Saccharomyces cerevisiae S288C: one gene and its partners. Each later gene encodes a partner of the first gene's protein in a complex. Each region holds a gene or a part of one and is shown in the gene's direction. Other genes may lie near its edges.

The links. Proteins that work in one complex are often made in the same cells at the same time.
Region 2: the proteins of NRD1 (region 1) and SEN1 are in contact, whole or in part, in an NMR structure (PDB 6GC3), measured with the Saccharomyces cerevisiae proteins. Residues at the interface, in NP_014148.1 of Saccharomyces cerevisiae: Asp19 (codon at 1,770), Leu20 (codon at 1,773), Lys21 (codon at 1,776), Ser22 (codon at 1,779), Ile24 (codon at 1,785), Ser25 (codon at 1,788), Gly26 (codon at 1,791), Ser27 (codon at 1,794), Arg28 (codon at 1,797), Lys30 (codon at 1,803), Tyr67 (codon at 1,914), Asp70 (codon at 1,923), Ser71 (codon at 1,926), Arg74 (codon at 1,935), Lys123 (codon at 2,082), Met126 (codon at 2,091), Leu127 (codon at 2,094), Ile130 (codon at 2,103), Arg133 (codon at 2,112); in NP_013534.3 of Saccharomyces cerevisiae: Asp2052, Asp2053, Asp2054, Glu2055, Asp2056, Asp2057, Tyr2058, Pro2060, Ser2061, Ile2062, Ser2063.
Region 3: the proteins of NRD1 (region 1) and PAP2 are in contact, whole or in part, in an NMR structure (PDB 2MOW), measured with the Saccharomyces cerevisiae proteins. Residues at the interface, in NP_014148.1 of Saccharomyces cerevisiae: Lys21 (codon at 1,776), Gly23 (codon at 1,782), Ile24 (codon at 1,785), Ser25 (codon at 1,788), Gly26 (codon at 1,791), Arg28 (codon at 1,797), Ile29 (codon at 1,800), Lys30 (codon at 1,803), Tyr67 (codon at 1,914), Asp70 (codon at 1,923), Ser71 (codon at 1,926), Arg74 (codon at 1,935), Met126 (codon at 2,091), Leu127 (codon at 2,094), Ile130 (codon at 2,103), Arg133 (codon at 2,112); in NP_014526.1 of Saccharomyces cerevisiae: Asp573 (codon at 3,368), Asp575 (codon at 3,374), Glu576 (codon at 3,377), Asp577 (codon at 3,380), Gly578 (codon at 3,383), Tyr579 (codon at 3,386), Asn580 (codon at 3,389), Pro581 (codon at 3,392), Tyr582 (codon at 3,395), Thr583 (codon at 3,398), Leu584 (codon at 3,401).

The regions. Positions count from the first base shown.
Region 1 is NC_001146.8:171,760-176,030, reverse strand, and holds NRD1 (Nrd1 complex RNA-binding subunit), read left to right. Parts: upstream 1-1,715; coding exon 1,716-3,443; downstream 3,444-4,271. Other genes in the region: RAD50 (MRX complex DNA-binding subunit), read right to left, coding at 1-621; mitochondrial 54S ribosomal protein mL46 MRPL17, read left to right, coding at 3,745-4,271. UniProt on the Saccharomyces cerevisiae protein: Plays a role in sequence-specific regulation of nuclear pre-mRNA abundance.
Region 2 is NC_001144.5:991,583-999,433, forward strand, and holds the start of SEN1 (DNA/RNA helicase SEN1), read left to right. Parts: upstream 1-1,851; coding exon 1,852-7,851. Other genes in the region: CRN1 (coronin), read left to right, coding at 1-1,150. UniProt on the Saccharomyces cerevisiae protein: ATP-dependent 5'->3' DNA/RNA helicase required for the expression and maturation of diverse classes of non-protein-coding RNAs like precursor tRNAs, rRNAs and small nuclear (snRNA) and nucleolar (snoRNA) RNAs.
Region 3 is NC_001147.6:99,824-103,729, forward strand, and holds PAP2 (non-canonical poly(A) polymerase PAP2), read left to right. Parts: upstream 1-1,651; coding exon 1,652-3,406; downstream 3,407-3,906. Other genes in the region: MSN1 (Msn1p), read left to right, coding at 1-1,134; PTH4 (Pth4p), read right to left, coding at 3,494-3,906. UniProt on the Saccharomyces cerevisiae protein: Catalytic subunit of the TRAMP complex which has a poly(A) RNA polymerase activity and is involved in a post-transcriptional quality control mechanism limiting inappropriate expression of genetic information.

The DNA.
Region 1 (4,271 bases):
TTGCTTTAATAACTTGATATCCACGGACATGTCTTTCTTTATGGATTTTAAATTGTCTAGAGCCTTTGTAAATTTCATCGCTTGGAAAATTTCATCAAACTTCTTTTTAAGATTGGATGGTTCACTCAGTGGCCACAGGCTGTCTTCTTGGTGACAGAATATCACGTATTCCAAGATCGCTTTTGGAACTCCCAGATACAGGGGTACTTGTGCGTCTAATTCCAGAGACCGGGTGGACAAAGTACTGCGGTCACCACTATTATTTATAGCGACCAACTGGCCTTCTAAAGTCTTAAATGTAGTAGTAGTCTTTTTCATTAGCAACTGAATATTTCTGGTGACAATCATATTGAGTCCATTGGCACTCGTAAACGCCAGTTTGACCTGAGCTCTAATGTCCTTTTCACCAGTTATCTTCGGGTCATGAATGAATACTCCTCCCTTGCTGTTGGGCGGTAGATCACCTGTGGTAGCGTACTTTAAACATTCGATGATAGTCGTTTTACCTGAACCATTCATGCCGACTATTAAAGTCAGAGGCTTGCCAAATTCAATAGTTTCCCTATCATTGGAGTCAAAAGACCGTATGCCCTGAATAGATAATTTATAGATAGCGCTCATGCCTGCTTTCCGTCGTTCCCTTGTTTTTGCCTCTCAATGGTTGCTACCACTTCTTAGAATTAAAGATTTCCATTTAAAGATCAAAGCTTGAAAGCCGCTTTAGAAGCGATGAGGCAAGAACAAAGGCAACAAACAGGGACAAGATGAAAACCGGAACCTTATCTCAGATGAAGACAAACGAGGTGAAGGCATTTTTTTTTTTTGACTAAGTTAGATTAATATTTGCATTGTCATATGGGTGGGTTCTACTGCAGTTACTAGCGCACGAGACAAGGCAAAGCCGTGAAAGTATTGCAAGATGCATGGTTATTATTCTCCGAAAATAATAAGTGAAGGATTGTAACATTACCGCAAGTATTAGTATTGTAAGTGGAAGTACTATCGGTTTCTTGTTTCAATGAATAGCACCAGAAACGCAAAAAATCTACAATTAGTTTATGGTCGAAATGAGCTACTGCGCACGTATAGCGCATTGTTTCCTATTCTACTAAAGTCCGCAATACATAATTCTATCGAGTACTCAAAAACATTATGCTTTTGATGGCTTGTTAGATATCCTTATGACCACTAACCTGAAATTGAGCAAATTCATTGGAAAGTCGGCGGCAAAAATAAATGTTTCGTCTTTGGTGATTTATTGGTCATTACATACGGTACATTTTTGATTTTTTTTTTTGCCACCGGTCGGAGCGGAGGAGGTGAAAAAGAAAAAGTATAAAAGGGCAAGTGTTTCGTCCTTCCTCCATGTTCCATTCCTCGTTAGCATGACTCCCCGCTCCTTCCCTTTACGAGTTTCATGCTTTTAACATATCAAAAGTCAGTACTCGGCAACCTTATTGTATCGTTTTCGTATCGTATCGCATCGTATTATCGTATTGTACACAACTAACTCACCAATCAAGGCTCTTCTTACAATTAGTTACGTTACCGTATCCATTGCTACAACCTATAATTTCAAGCAAAAGAAAAATATACTATTGTCTATTTTTTTGTATTGTAGTTTTCTCTGATTACACATTTTTTCTAGTACTTTTCTCCAAGCACGAGTTACAGGAAAGGAACCGGAAAGCAACAAACATACTAAACATCCCATAATGCAGCAGGACGACGATTTTCAAAATTTTGTAGCTACCTTGGAATCATTCAAAGATTTGAAATCTGGTATTTCAGGTTCTCGTATTAAGAAACTAACCACTTACGCACTTGATCACATTGATATTGAATCGAAAATCATATCTTTGATAATAGACTACTCAAGACTTTGTCCCGATTCTCATAAATTAGGTTCTTTATATATCATCGATTCAATAGGTAGAGCTTACTTGGATGAAACAAGATCAAATTCAAACAGCAGCAGCAACAAACCCGGTACTTGTGCCCATGCCATAAACACGTTGGGCGAAGTAATTCAAGAACTGCTATCCGATGCTATTGCAAAAAGTAATCAAGACCACAAGGAAAAAATTCGTATGCTTTTAGACATTTGGGACAGGTCCGGCTTGTTTCAAAAGAGTTACTTGAACGCCATCAGGTCAAAATGCTTTGCTATGGACATATCGAATAACACCGCGAACACCGCTTCACAACAACTATCACTGGATCCCAAGCAGAGGTCGAAACAAATCTTGTCAAATCTAAAGAAAAGTCCTCCTTTAAACTTGAACATAAGTCTTCCAACTGATTTGACTTCCACAGATCCAGCCAAACAGCAAGCAGCTCTTTTCCAAGTAATAGCGGCTCTGCAGAAACATTTTAAAACTTTGCCTTCACATACATCCGTGGGTACAGTCGCACCTCCCCAAGCCCATACAATTACCGAATATGGTAGCAGACGTGAACGTGAACGTGAAAGAGAAAGATATAACTCAAGAAGGAATAGATCAAGATCTCCTCCGGCACCATTTTCTCAGCCATCGACAGGCAGGAAGGACCGCTATCCATCTGTGGCCCAGGACCAATACAGCATAGGCGCCCCCAATACGACATTTGGCACAAACAATCACCACTTATACCCCGATGAGCTTAATGTTTCCAATAATCCTCATTATAGACCAAAACCAGTAAGTTACGACTCTACATTGCCACCAGATCATATTAAAGTCTACAGCCGTACTCTTTTCATCGGTGGGGTACCACTAAACATGAAGGAATGGGACCTTGCTAACGTTTTAAAACCTTTTGCTGAAGTACAAAGCGTCATTCTGAATAACTCCAGAAAACACGCTTTTGTGAAAGTTTATTCAAGACATGAGGCCGAAAATGTTTTGCAAAACTTCAATAAAGATGGAGCCCTGCCATTGAGAACTAGGTGGGGAGTTGGTTTTGGTCCAAGAGATTGTTGTGACTATCAACACGGTTACAGTATTATTCCTATGCACAGGCTCACGGACGCTGATAAAAAATGGTCAGTAAGTGCGCAATGGGGTGGCACTTCTGGTCAACCTCTCGTTACCGGTATTGTTTTCGAAGAACCGGATATTATCGTTGGTGAAGGTGTTTCTTCCAAGGCAATATCTCAAAAGATGCCTACTGATTCTGGCAGAAATGGGCCACGTTCTGGTAAACCTAACAAATCTGGTAGCATATCGTCGATATCTCCAGTACCCTACGGCAATGCACCATTGGCATCTCCTCCACCACAGCAATATGTGCAACCTATGATGCAGCAACCGTATGGTTATGCCCCCAACCAACCATTACCTTCTCAGGGACCTGCCGCAGCGGCTCCCCCTGTACCTCAGCAACAATTTGACCCCACTGCTCAATTGAATTCTTTGATGAATATGCTTAACCAACAGCAGCAGCAACAACAACAAAGCTAAGATCTTTACTCCACCCTTTATTTGCTCATAGTACATAAAACTAATCTACCTCTATATATAATTTCTGTTTTTTCCTATGTTCCTTTTTTTTTTTTGTTAAATGGACATCCTTATGTATTCACATAACTACTGTGTTTCAAATGTAGCATTATCCTATTCTTTATTCTCTTTTTTTACCGTATTCCTGGTTTTTTTTCAAGGTTTAGATGAAAATGAAAATGAAAAAAAAAAAAGGAAAGAAAACAGTTAAACAATCAATAAACTTTATATTCTACGTAATCATAAGCGCTTATCCAGTACCATGAAGGTAAATTTAATGTTGAAAAGAGGGCTTGCTACTGCAACTGCAACTGCCAGTTCCGCTCCCCCCAAGATTAAAGTCGGAGTACTACTGTCAAGAATCCCTATAATTAAATCAGAATTAAATGAACTAGAGAAAAAATACTATGAGTACCAATCAGAACTAGAAAAGAGACTAATGTGGACGTTTCCGGCATATTTTTATTTCAAAAAGGGTACTGTAGCAGAACACAAATTTCTATCCCTGCAGAAAGGACCTATCTCCAAAAAAAATGGCATTTGGTTTCCTAGAGGCATACCGGACATTAAACATGGCAGAGAAAGAAGTACTAAGCAAGAAGTTAAACTTTCTGATGACAGTACAGTAGCATTTAGCAACAATCAAAAAGAGCAAAGCAAAGACGATGTTAATAGGCCCGTGATTCCCAACGACAGGATAACGGAAGCAGATAGGTCAAATGATATGAAGAGCCTTGAAAGACAATTGAGCAGGACCTTATATCTTTTGGTTAAGGATAAAAGCGGTAC
Region 2 (7,851 bases), on another chromosome or scaffold:
CTACACTGTCGACCAATCATCAGGTATTTTGATGCCCTTTTATGACGAAGGGAATAAGATTCTTTACTTGGTGGGGAAAGGTGATGGTAATATTCGATACTACGAATTTCAAAACGACGAGCTGTTTGAGTTGTCTGAATTCCAATCCACAGAAGCACAGAGAGGCTTTGCTGTAGCGCCTAAGCGAATGGTGAACGTCAAAGAAAACGAAGTCTTAAAAGGTTTCAAGACTGTCGTTGATCAGCGTATCGAACCGGTATCTTTCTTTGTTCCAAGGAGATCAGAGGAGTTCCAAGAAGATATCTACCCGGATGCACCTTCCAATAAGCCAGCTTTAACTGCTGAAGAGTGGTTTTCTGGCAAGTCTGTTGAAGGTCCAATTCTCGTTAGTATGAGATCTATCTATGACGGTTCCGCACCAAGCTTTCATGAGGCTAAAAGACCTCAACAGCCAACAACTCAAGAAACAGCTCTTGAAGAGAAAAAGGAGCAGCCTAAAGTGGAGAAGCCAATCAGCGAATCCGAAAAGGAGGTGAAACAAGAAGCTCCAAAATCTCCCTCACCGCTAAAGTCGGCCTCCTCATCTTCTACAATCAACCATGTATTAAAGGAAGATAATTCGATCAACAAGTTGTTGAAGAAATCCTCCGATATTGATCAAGTTAACAACGCCGAAGATCCGTCTAGGGATACCTCCGGATGGGAAGAAGCCGATGATGAGCCAGCTCCTATCAAAATCGAAACCCCAGTCACTCCAACAGAAACTAAAAAGGATCGCACACCTAAGGTCGAACCTTCAAAAGAATTGAAGCCAGAGCCAGTGTCTATCGCAACAGATAGAAAACAGGAGCAAAGCTTACCTCAAGAAGAGAAGTCCTCTGAGAAAACAAAGTCCCCTGAGCAGGAAAAATCCGCAACACCTCCTTCTTCAATTACGGCTGCTAAGACAGCCATTACTGCCAGCAGTAAGGAAGAGCCATCCGCGGCAAGGACATCACCTAAGTCATTGGGTTTAAAAAAGTCTGTCGAAAAACTATCTACATTGGTTCTGCAATTAGAAGATGTAGTTGATAAATTAACGAAAGCAAATCTTGACAAAGATGAGCGCCTGTTAAAGTTGGAACAAAAAATTGGCGAACTGTCAAAATGAAAATTTTTTGTACTTTTAATGATAAAATTAAGTGAGTCCTTTTTATAGGAAAGATGTATTTTGATTATATGTAATGTACATAAGACGGCGGCGATAATAATGCACTTAGAAAGTGAATCATGTTCACCTGTCCACTAACAAAAAAGGAAACAAAATGTTGCTTTCCCACAGGAAAAAGAATGTTTTTGACAAAACACTAAGCGTTATGTGACCAATGTATAATTGTCCTCATCATATAGTTTTATGCAAGCATAAATAAGTCTTTCTTTTAGTTAAAACGCGTTACATAGTAAAGGTAACCCTGAATGAATTTTTATTTATATTTTTCTTCGCATATTTTAGGATCTTGAAAAATTAACCACAAGTTAGAAGTTGATGAGATCAGGAATTCTAACAAAAGGTCATTGGTTAGGTTTATTTTGTAGGTGCACGTTTGCAACTTTATTCCTTTTGTTTCAAAGTTATAGAGCTTTCATTTTCTCATTCTTCTCTAGTGTAGGTCATTTCTCCTGCATATTAACCTACTAGAAAAGTTTACGAAGCTTCATAGGAACGAATAATCGATCACTTTAAAGGCTTCCCGCACTTTAATCTTATCATCTACACCTACAAAAAAGCTCTACTTTGTCATTTATTTTCTACTTCATCTCTGTATGGCATCTATCTCTATATATATAAAAAAGCGCATCTGTTTATTATAAATGAATTCCAACAATCCTGATAATAATAATAGCAACAACATTAATAATAATAATAAGGATAAGGATATTGCCCCCAATAGCGATGTTCAGCTAGCTACCGTCTATACCAAGGCAAAGTCTTACATTCCTCAGATTGAACAAGTTTATCAAGGCACAAATCCAAATATTCAAGAGGCAAAATTATTAGGGGAGTTATTACAAGTTCTAGCAGAAGTTCCCAAGGGTACGCATTTATTTTGCGACCCCATACTTGAACCAATATCAATTTTTTCCCTAACCATTTTCTCATTCAATGAAGAAGCTACGGCCACATGGCTGAAGAATCATTTTAATCCAATTCTCTCTGTTTGTGATAAATGCATTCTAAATTTTGCGAGAGGGAAGTGCAAAATGTTACAACATTTTGCCATTCAAAGACATGTGCCGCATGAACATGTAGCCAAGTTTAATGACATCGTATGCCAATGGAGGGTGGAGGCTGTTTTTCCTATTCTTAGAAATATTTCCGTTAACGATAATACGGGAATTAACATTACAAATGAAATTGAAACTGCAATGTACGAGTGTCTCTGTAATCCGCATATGTTGAGGCTTAACAAGCAACTTAAGGCTACTTTCGAAGCAATCTTCAAATTTTTCTACGACACAAAGCATCGTTTGTTGGACGTTACGAATCCATTAAGCATAAAAACCTTTATATCAGGTGTCATATTTTGCTGGTGTGAAGGTTCAAAAGAGGAAAATGAGTGGTCACGAGCTTTTCTAAAGGATTTATACTCAAGAAATTTCCATATAAATCTTTCTAACCTGACACCGGATATTATTGAGGAAGTTTATATCCATATTTTATTCTTACAGAATCCGGCAAACTGGACAGAGATTGTGGTATCTCAATTCTGGTCGAGATTACTACCGGTTTTCAATTTATTTGATAAAGACGTCTTCATAGAGTACTTTCAGGTCCCAAAAAATGTGGAATCTTTAAAAAAAACATTCAAATTTCCGTTAGAGCCAATTTTTAAAATGTGGTACAATCACTTAAGCAAATCATATCATGATAAGCCACTAGACTTTTTGTTAAGAGGATTAACAATGTTCTTGAATAAATTTGGCTCCGAGTTTTGGTCCAAAATTGAACCCTTCACATTCCATAGCATTTTGGATATAATTTTCAATAGAGATTCATTCCCAATCAAACTAATCAAAATTCAAGACAATCCAATTGTTGAGCATCAAACAGAAGTTTACTTTCAACTTACCGGTTCTGTAACCGATTTACTTTCTTGGACCTTACCATTTTATCATGCACTGTCACCATCCAAAAGAATTCAAATGGTTAGAAAGGTCTCAATGGCGTTCCTGCGTATAATAGCCAATTATCCATCCCTAAAATCCATTCCCAAAGCTTGTTTAATGAATTCAGCAACTGCCTTGTTGAGGGCTGTGTTGACTATTAAGGAAAATGAAAGGGCAATGCTTTATAAGAATGATGAATTTGAAACAGTACTGTTGACTAAAACAGATTCTAGAGCTTTGCTCAACAATCCTTTGATCCAAGACATAATAATTAGATCAGCTTCGAATCCTAACGACTTTTATCCTGGGCTAGGTGCTGCTTCTGCATCGGTGGCCACATCCACGATGATGGTATTGGCAGAATGTATCGATTTTGATATACTGTTATTATGTCATCGAACGTTTAAGCTTTATTCAGGTAAACCAATTAGCGAAATTCCAATTTCAACCAACGTCTTGGAAAATGTTACAAATAAAATTGACCTGAGATCTTTTCATGACGGTCCATTGCTGGCCAAACAGCTGCTAGTATCTTTAAAAAATATTAATGGTCTTTTGATAGTACCGTCAAATACTGCCGTAGCTGAGGCACACAACGCATTGAATCAGAAGTTTTTGCTGCTATCAACGAGATTAATGGAAAAATTTGCGGATATTTTGCCCGGTCAACTGTCTAAAATCCTTGCGGATGAAGATGCATCGCAGGGTTTTTGGTCCTGCATATTCTCCTCTGATAAACACTTGTATCAAGCAGCTACTAATATTTTATACAATACATTTGACGTTGAGGGTAGACTGGAAGGTATCTTAGCGATTCTGAATAGTAATTTGACCGTTAACTTGAAGAATATAAACGTGATGCTACAAAGATTAATCAATTGTGAATTCTATGAGCCTTGCCCCCGTGCTGTTCGTGTTTTGATGGACGTAGTGAGTGCATTTGTAGACCCGATTTCTGGTGTGTTTGCTAATTTCCAAACTTTGAAGAGCCAAAATACCGAAAAGGAATTTTTAAAATTCTGGGAATCATGTTGGTTATTCTTGGATACGATTTATAAGTTTACTTTGAAATGGGCTTCTAAATATGACTATTCTGAACTGGAAAATTTCACCAAAGATACTTTAGATCTAAGTCGCTCTTTGGTGGACTCCTTTAGAGAATTTTCAGATATTCTTCATGACCAAACGAAAAATTTACTTCTCAACGTTTTAGAAACCTTTAAGAATATGTTGTATTGGCTGAGATTGAGCGACGAAGTACTTTTGGAATCTTGTGTTAGATTAATTATAAGCACGTCTGATTTAGCACATGAAAAGCATGTGAAAGTGGATGATTCCTTGGTAGAAATGATGGCCAAGTACGCCTCGAAGGCAAAGAGATTTTCAAATAAGTTGACGGAGCAACAGGCGAGTGAGATTCTACAAAAGGCTAAAATATTCAATAAAGCACTCACGGAAGAGGTCGCTACAGAAGCTGAAAACTACAGAAAAGAAAAGGAATTATCAAGACTTGGGAAGGTGATCGACTTAACGGATTCTGTGCCGGCGTCACCATCCCTCTCGCCCTCTCTGTCTTCAACCATTGCTAGTTCTTCTGCTGAATCCAGGGCAGACTATTTACAAAGAAAAGCTTTATCTTCTTCAATAACTGGGAGACCAAGAGTAGCTCAGCCTAAAATAACATCTTTTGGTACGTTCCAATCATCAGCTAATGCTAAACTGCATCGTACAAAACCTGTTAAGCCTTTATCCAAAATGGAATTAGCTAGGATGCAATTATTAAACAACAGAGTTGTTCATCCACCTAGTGCGCCAGCTTTCCATACAAAGAGTAGGGGTTTGTCTAACAAAAACGACGATAGCAGTAGTGAGGAGAGTGACAACGATATAGAAAGCGCTCGGGAGCTTTTTGCTATTGCTAAGGCAAAAGGCAAAGGAATACAAACTGTCGATATTAATGGTAAGGTTGTCAAGAGACAAACTGCGGCTGAATTGGCTAAACAGGAGTTAGAACATATGAGAAAGAGATTAAATGTTGATATGAACCCTCTATATGAAATCATATTGCAATGGGATTACACCAGAAATAGTGAATATCCTGATGATGAGCCTATTGGTAATTATTCTGACGTAAAGGATTTCTTCAACTCTCCTGCTGACTACCAAAAAGTCATGAAGCCTTTACTACTTCTAGAATCTTGGCAAGGTCTATGTTCTTCACGTGATAGAGAGGACTATAAACCTTTCAGTATTATTGTAGGAAATCGAACTGCTGTGTCAGATTTCTATGATGTGTATGCCTCTGTCGCTAAACAAGTCATACAGGATTGTGGTATTTCTGAATCTGACTTAATTGTAATGGCTTATTTACCCGATTTTCGACCAGACAAAAGGTTGTCCAGTGATGATTTCAAGAAAGCACAACATACATGTTTAGCAAAGGTGAGAACATTGAAAAATACCAAAGGTGGTAATGTTGATGTCACATTACGAATTCATAGAAATCATTCTTTCAGTAAATTTTTGACACTAAGATCAGAGATATATTGTGTGAAGGTTATGCAAATGACGACTATTGAAAGAGAGTATTCAACACTGGAAGGGCTGGAATACTATGACTTAGTTGGCCAAATTCTACAGGCTAAACCATCGCCTCCCGTAAATGTGGATGCGGCAGAAATTGAAACAGTTAAGAAAAGCTATAAGCTCAATACGTCGCAGGCTGAGGCCATCGTTAATTCGGTATCTAAAGAAGGTTTTTCTTTAATTCAGGGTCCACCTGGTACGGGTAAAACAAAGACTATACTGGGTATTATTGGTTACTTTTTGTCTACAAAGAATGCCTCATCTTCAAATGTCATCAAAGTGCCACTAGAAAAGAACTCATCGAATACTGAACAACTGTTAAAAAAGCAAAAAATTCTAATCTGTGCCCCCAGTAATGCCGCTGTGGACGAAATCTGCCTCAGACTGAAGAGTGGAGTGTATGACAAGCAGGGGCATCAATTTAAACCTCAATTGGTCCGTGTAGGTAGGTCAGACGTTGTAAACGTTGCAATTAAGGACCTTACTTTAGAAGAACTTGTGGATAAAAGGATAGGTGAAAGGAATTACGAAATCAGAACAGATCCGGAACTAGAACGTAAATTTAATAATGCTGTGACTAAAAGAAGAGAATTGAGAGGAAAATTAGACTCTGAGAGTGGTAATCCAGAAAGTCCAATGTCAACCGAAGATATCAGTAAATTACAACTTAAGATTAGGGAGCTAAGTAAAATAATCAATGAACTTGGCCGTGATAGGGACGAAATGCGTGAGAAGAATTCCGTAAATTATAGGAATAGGGATTTGGATAGAAGGAATGCACAGGCCCATATCTTGGCGGTTAGTGACATCATATGTTCGACTTTATCTGGTTCAGCCCATGATGTACTCGCAACAATGGGTATTAAATTTGATACGGTCATTATAGATGAAGCATGTCAATGTACCGAACTTTCTTCAATTATTCCTCTCAGGTATGGAGGGAAGCGTTGTATTATGGTTGGTGATCCTAACCAACTACCACCAACTGTTCTTTCAGGTGCAGCAAGCAATTTTAAATACAATCAGTCACTGTTCGTTAGAATGGAGAAAAATAGCTCCCCATACTTGCTGGATGTTCAATACCGTATGCATCCTTCCATCAGTAAATTCCCCTCTTCTGAATTTTATCAGGGACGACTAAAAGACGGCCCTGGTATGGATATCTTGAACAAAAGACCCTGGCACCAGCTTGAGCCATTAGCTCCCTACAAATTTTTTGACATCATTAGTGGTAGGCAAGAACAAAATGCGAAGACTATGTCTTATACAAATATGGAGGAAATACGTGTTGCCATTGAGTTAGTTGACTACCTTTTCAGAAAATTCGATAATAAAATTGATTTCACGGGAAAAATCGGTATAATTTCACCTTATAGAGAGCAAATGCAAAAAATGCGTAAAGAGTTTGCCCGCTATTTTGGAGGCATGATCAACAAATCAATCGATTTCAATACAATCGACGGTTTCCAAGGTCAAGAAAAAGAAATCATCTTGATATCGTGTGTCCGTGCCGATGATACGAAATCTAGTGTCGGTTTTTTAAAGGACTTTCGTCGTATGAATGTGGCTCTGACTAGAGCCAAGACAAGTATTTGGGTTTTGGGACATCAAAGGTCTCTGGCTAAAAGCAAGTTATGGAGAGATTTGATTGAAGATGCAAAAGATAGAAGTTGTCTTGCATATGCTTGCTCGGGTTTCCTGGATCCCAGAAATAATAGAGCTCAAAGTATTTTAAGAAAGTTCAATGTACCCGTACCATCAGAGCAAGAAGATGATTATAAGCTACCCATGGAATATATTACGCAAGGCCCCGATGAGGTAAAATCCAATAAGGACACAAAGAAGAGAAGAGTTGTCGATGAAGGTGAAGAGGCAGATAAAGCTGTAAAGAAAAAGAAGAAAGAGAAGAAGAAGGAAAAGAAAAAGTCCAAGGCAGATGATAAGAAAAAGAATAACAAGAAGGCAGAATCGCCCAGCACCTCATCTGGTACAAAGAAAAAGTCATCCATTTTTGGTGGAATGAGTGTACCGAGTGCCGTAGTTCCTAAAACTTTTCCTGATGTGGACAGCAACAAAAAGGCAGCAGCAGTTGTTGGTAAAAAGAAAAATAACAAACAC
Region 3 (3,906 bases), on another chromosome or scaffold:
CACATAGGAGCTTCAAACCTAAATGAGAATGAGGCTATATTAACCAACCGCGTTGCTGAGCTGGAAAGGCGTATGTCGATGTTTGAGGGTATATTTCACGCGTTAAGTAACCGTCTCGATCTTCACTTTAAAAAATATGATGTAGTGGTAAACTCCCAACAGCAACAAATCAACGAACTGACCGCGTTTTTATCAACATTGCTGAATGACCAACAACGCCACGCTGAAATTCTCAGTGAAAAATTAAGCGGAACGTTGCATGGGGTGTCAGCTACGTCAATATCCTTAAGCCAAACTCTTGACCCACAAGGCTTCACTGATGGAACTACGGCACCAGGAGCTCCTAGGAATTATACTTCAGTGCCTATGAATAATGATCAAACTGCTCATCCGCAAAATGAAGGAGCTGTTAGTAATGAAACACTTTTTGAGGACATTTTGAATGGAAATTCACAAGAAAATGATAAGAGTCAACAACAAACTAACAGCTCAAATTCTATAAGCCAAGAAAATAATAGCACCAACCCTTCAGTGGACACTCGGTTCAACAAGCCGCAAAATTATAATTCCAATTTAGTCCCATCCTTGGAAGAGTATTCAGCAAATCCACCTAACAATGATGGTGGCCAAAGTCAAGGACTGTACATAAGCAGCAACTCTTCTCAATCACGGCAGTCTCCTAATCTCCAGAAAGTTTCTCCTAACCATGAAAATGCGGTTGAATCAAATGCACAAGAGAGCGTGCCGACATTTGAGGAGGAACAGTATGAGACTAAAACAGGATTGAAACGGAAACGAATAGTCTGCACAAGACCCTTCGAATTTATCAAGTCACCACACTCTGTGATGGAGGTTTGGAAGGAGTATACAGAAGGTGTTAACGGGCAGCCTTCTATAAGGAAAATGGAAGCTCTTTATCAAACGGCATGGAGGCGAGATCCAGCAGTAAATAAAAGATATTCGAGAAGAAAGGTTCTTTGGAAAGCCATTCAAACTGGCCTTAATCGTGGGTATTCATTAAACTATGTTGTTGAAATATTAGAAAACTCAAGATATGTTAATGATAAACAGAAGGTTAAACAACCTATTGGTTGGTTATGCCACAGTTCTCATATTCCAGAGACTTTGAAGTGACATTTGCTTCTTGTGTATTCACCTTTATCCCAAATTAGCCCTTGTAACACTTATGCTTTTCTTAATAAATTAATAATTGGACTTTCCTTTAAAGTGGGTTGTATCTGTAACAATAATCTCTAATAATATCCTATAAAACTCAGAAGTCAGCCAACAACAATTGTATACGTATACATATCTATATAATATGCCTTGTACTTTACGCTCTTGAATTTAGAATAGCTGAACACCTAACTGAATTTAAGTAAAGGATCCCAAGCGTGAGATATTTAGGTTTACTCAGTTTTCTTATCTTGCCTTTTGATTATCACGTTGAGTGTCGAAGAAACCTGTATTCATCCTCGGCTTCTTGTATATGATTCTAAAATAATGTGTGAAAAAAAAAATAAAATAAAAAAAAGAGGAAAATAATATAGAATAACTATTAAGTTTCATTAAAAAAAAACCATTTGAATATACGACCAAAAACGTTACGCTTTCATAAAGTGTGAATAAGCAAGGGAACTATACTTGAAATATGGGGGCAAAGAGTGTAACAGCCTCTTCTTCAAAGAAGATTAAAAACCGGCATAATGGGAAAGTGAAAAAGAGCAAGAAAATCAAGAAAGTACGGAAACCACAGAAGTCTATATCCTTGAACGACGAAAACGAAGTAGAGATTTTACCTAGTCGTAATGAGCAAGAGACAAATAAATTACCTAAAGATCACGTCACGGCGGATGGAATTCTTGTATTAGAACATAAATCTGATGATGATGAAGGATTCGATGTCTACGATGGACATTTCGATAACCCTACTGATATTCCCTCGACTACTGAAGAAAGTAAAACGCCTTCATTAGCAGTGCACGGGGATGAGAAGGATCTTGCTAACAATGATGATTTTATCTCTCTTTCTGCTAGTTCTGAGGATGAGCAAGCCGAACAGGAAGAGGAGAGGGAGAAACAAGAATTAGAAATTAAAAAAGAAAAGCAAAAGGAAATCCTTAATACTGATTATCCATGGATTTTAAATCATGATCACTCCAAACAGAAAGAAATCTCGGACTGGCTAACCTTTGAAATCAAGGATTTTGTTGCCTATATCTCACCAAGTCGTGAAGAAATTGAAATTCGTAATCAAACCATAAGTACAATAAGAGAGGCTGTCAAACAGTTATGGCCAGATGCTGATTTGCACGTGTTTGGATCATATTCTACCGATTTGTATTTGCCTGGTTCCGATATTGATTGCGTGGTAACGAGCGAACTTGGTGGTAAGGAAAGTAGGAATAACTTGTATTCGTTAGCAAGCCATTTAAAAAAAAAAAATTTGGCAACAGAGGTTGAAGTTGTCGCCAAAGCTCGCGTTCCAATCATCAAGTTTGTTGAGCCACATTCAGGGATCCACATAGATGTTTCATTTGAGAGAACAAATGGTATTGAAGCAGCAAAGCTTATTAGAGAGTGGTTGGACGATACCCCCGGCCTGAGAGAATTAGTCCTTATCGTAAAACAATTCCTACACGCAAGAAGACTAAATAATGTGCATACCGGTGGTCTTGGTGGGTTTAGTATTATATGTCTTGTCTTTTCCTTTTTGCATATGCACCCACGTATAATAACTAACGAAATAGATCCAAAGGACAACTTGGGTGTGCTCCTGATAGAGTTTTTTGAACTTTATGGGAAAAATTTTGGTTATGATGATGTTGCACTGGGATCATCGGATGGATATCCAGTATACTTTCCAAAATCGACATGGAGTGCTATTCAGCCTATTAAAAATCCATTTTCATTGGCCATTCAAGATCCAGGTGATGAATCAAATAACATCAGTCGAGGGTCCTTTAACATTCGAGATATTAAAAAGGCATTTGCTGGTGCTTTTGATCTGTTGACGAATAGATGTTTTGAATTACATTCAGCAACTTTTAAGGATCGATTGGGGAAAAGTATATTGGGAAACGTGATCAAATATCGTGGAAAGGCAAGAGATTTCAAGGATGAAAGAGGTCTAGTACTGAATAAGGCTATTATTGAAAATGAAAACTATCACAAGAAACGTAGCAGAATAATTCATGATGAAGATTTTGCCGAAGATACAGTTACCTCCACAGCCACCGCTACCACAACAGATGATGATTATGAAATAACGAACCCACCTGCTAAGAAGGCTAAAATAGAAGAAAAACCTGAAAGTGAACCGGCCAAGAGAAATAGTGGAGAGACATATATCACTGTCTCTAGCGAAGATGATGATGAAGATGGATATAATCCTTATACCCTTTAATATGTGCCTTTTTGTTTAAATGATGCACTGAACTGTACATCACTGTGTACCTGGATAGAATGTGTGTTTAAATATGCGTATTATGTATTAATAATTGAATTTAATTTTACTTCTGTTTTTCTTTTTATCGCTGTGAACTTTTTTGTCAAGAAGTCGCTCTTTGTTGGCTTTCTCTTTTATTTTATTCCATTTCTTTGAGGTCTCAGCAGTGGTATCATTAGGAAATTGGCACGTTTGCCGAATTTCTTGAACCAACTTCTCGAAGCATTTTAATTTGTTGGTTTCCCTTGACCTAGTTTCATCAGATTGAATTACTATAGAATCGCTGCCCTTAGCGTAGTATCGAAACCTGCCGCTACTTAAGATGTTTCTCACTTCCTGAGGAATCCAAGCACAGTTTGATAAACCAGAAAGTGTCAAAGTACATTTACTATTTACCTTATTAACGTTTTGGCCTCCTGGCCCGCTGGCTCTATCGTAACGTAAAATAAATTGATTTA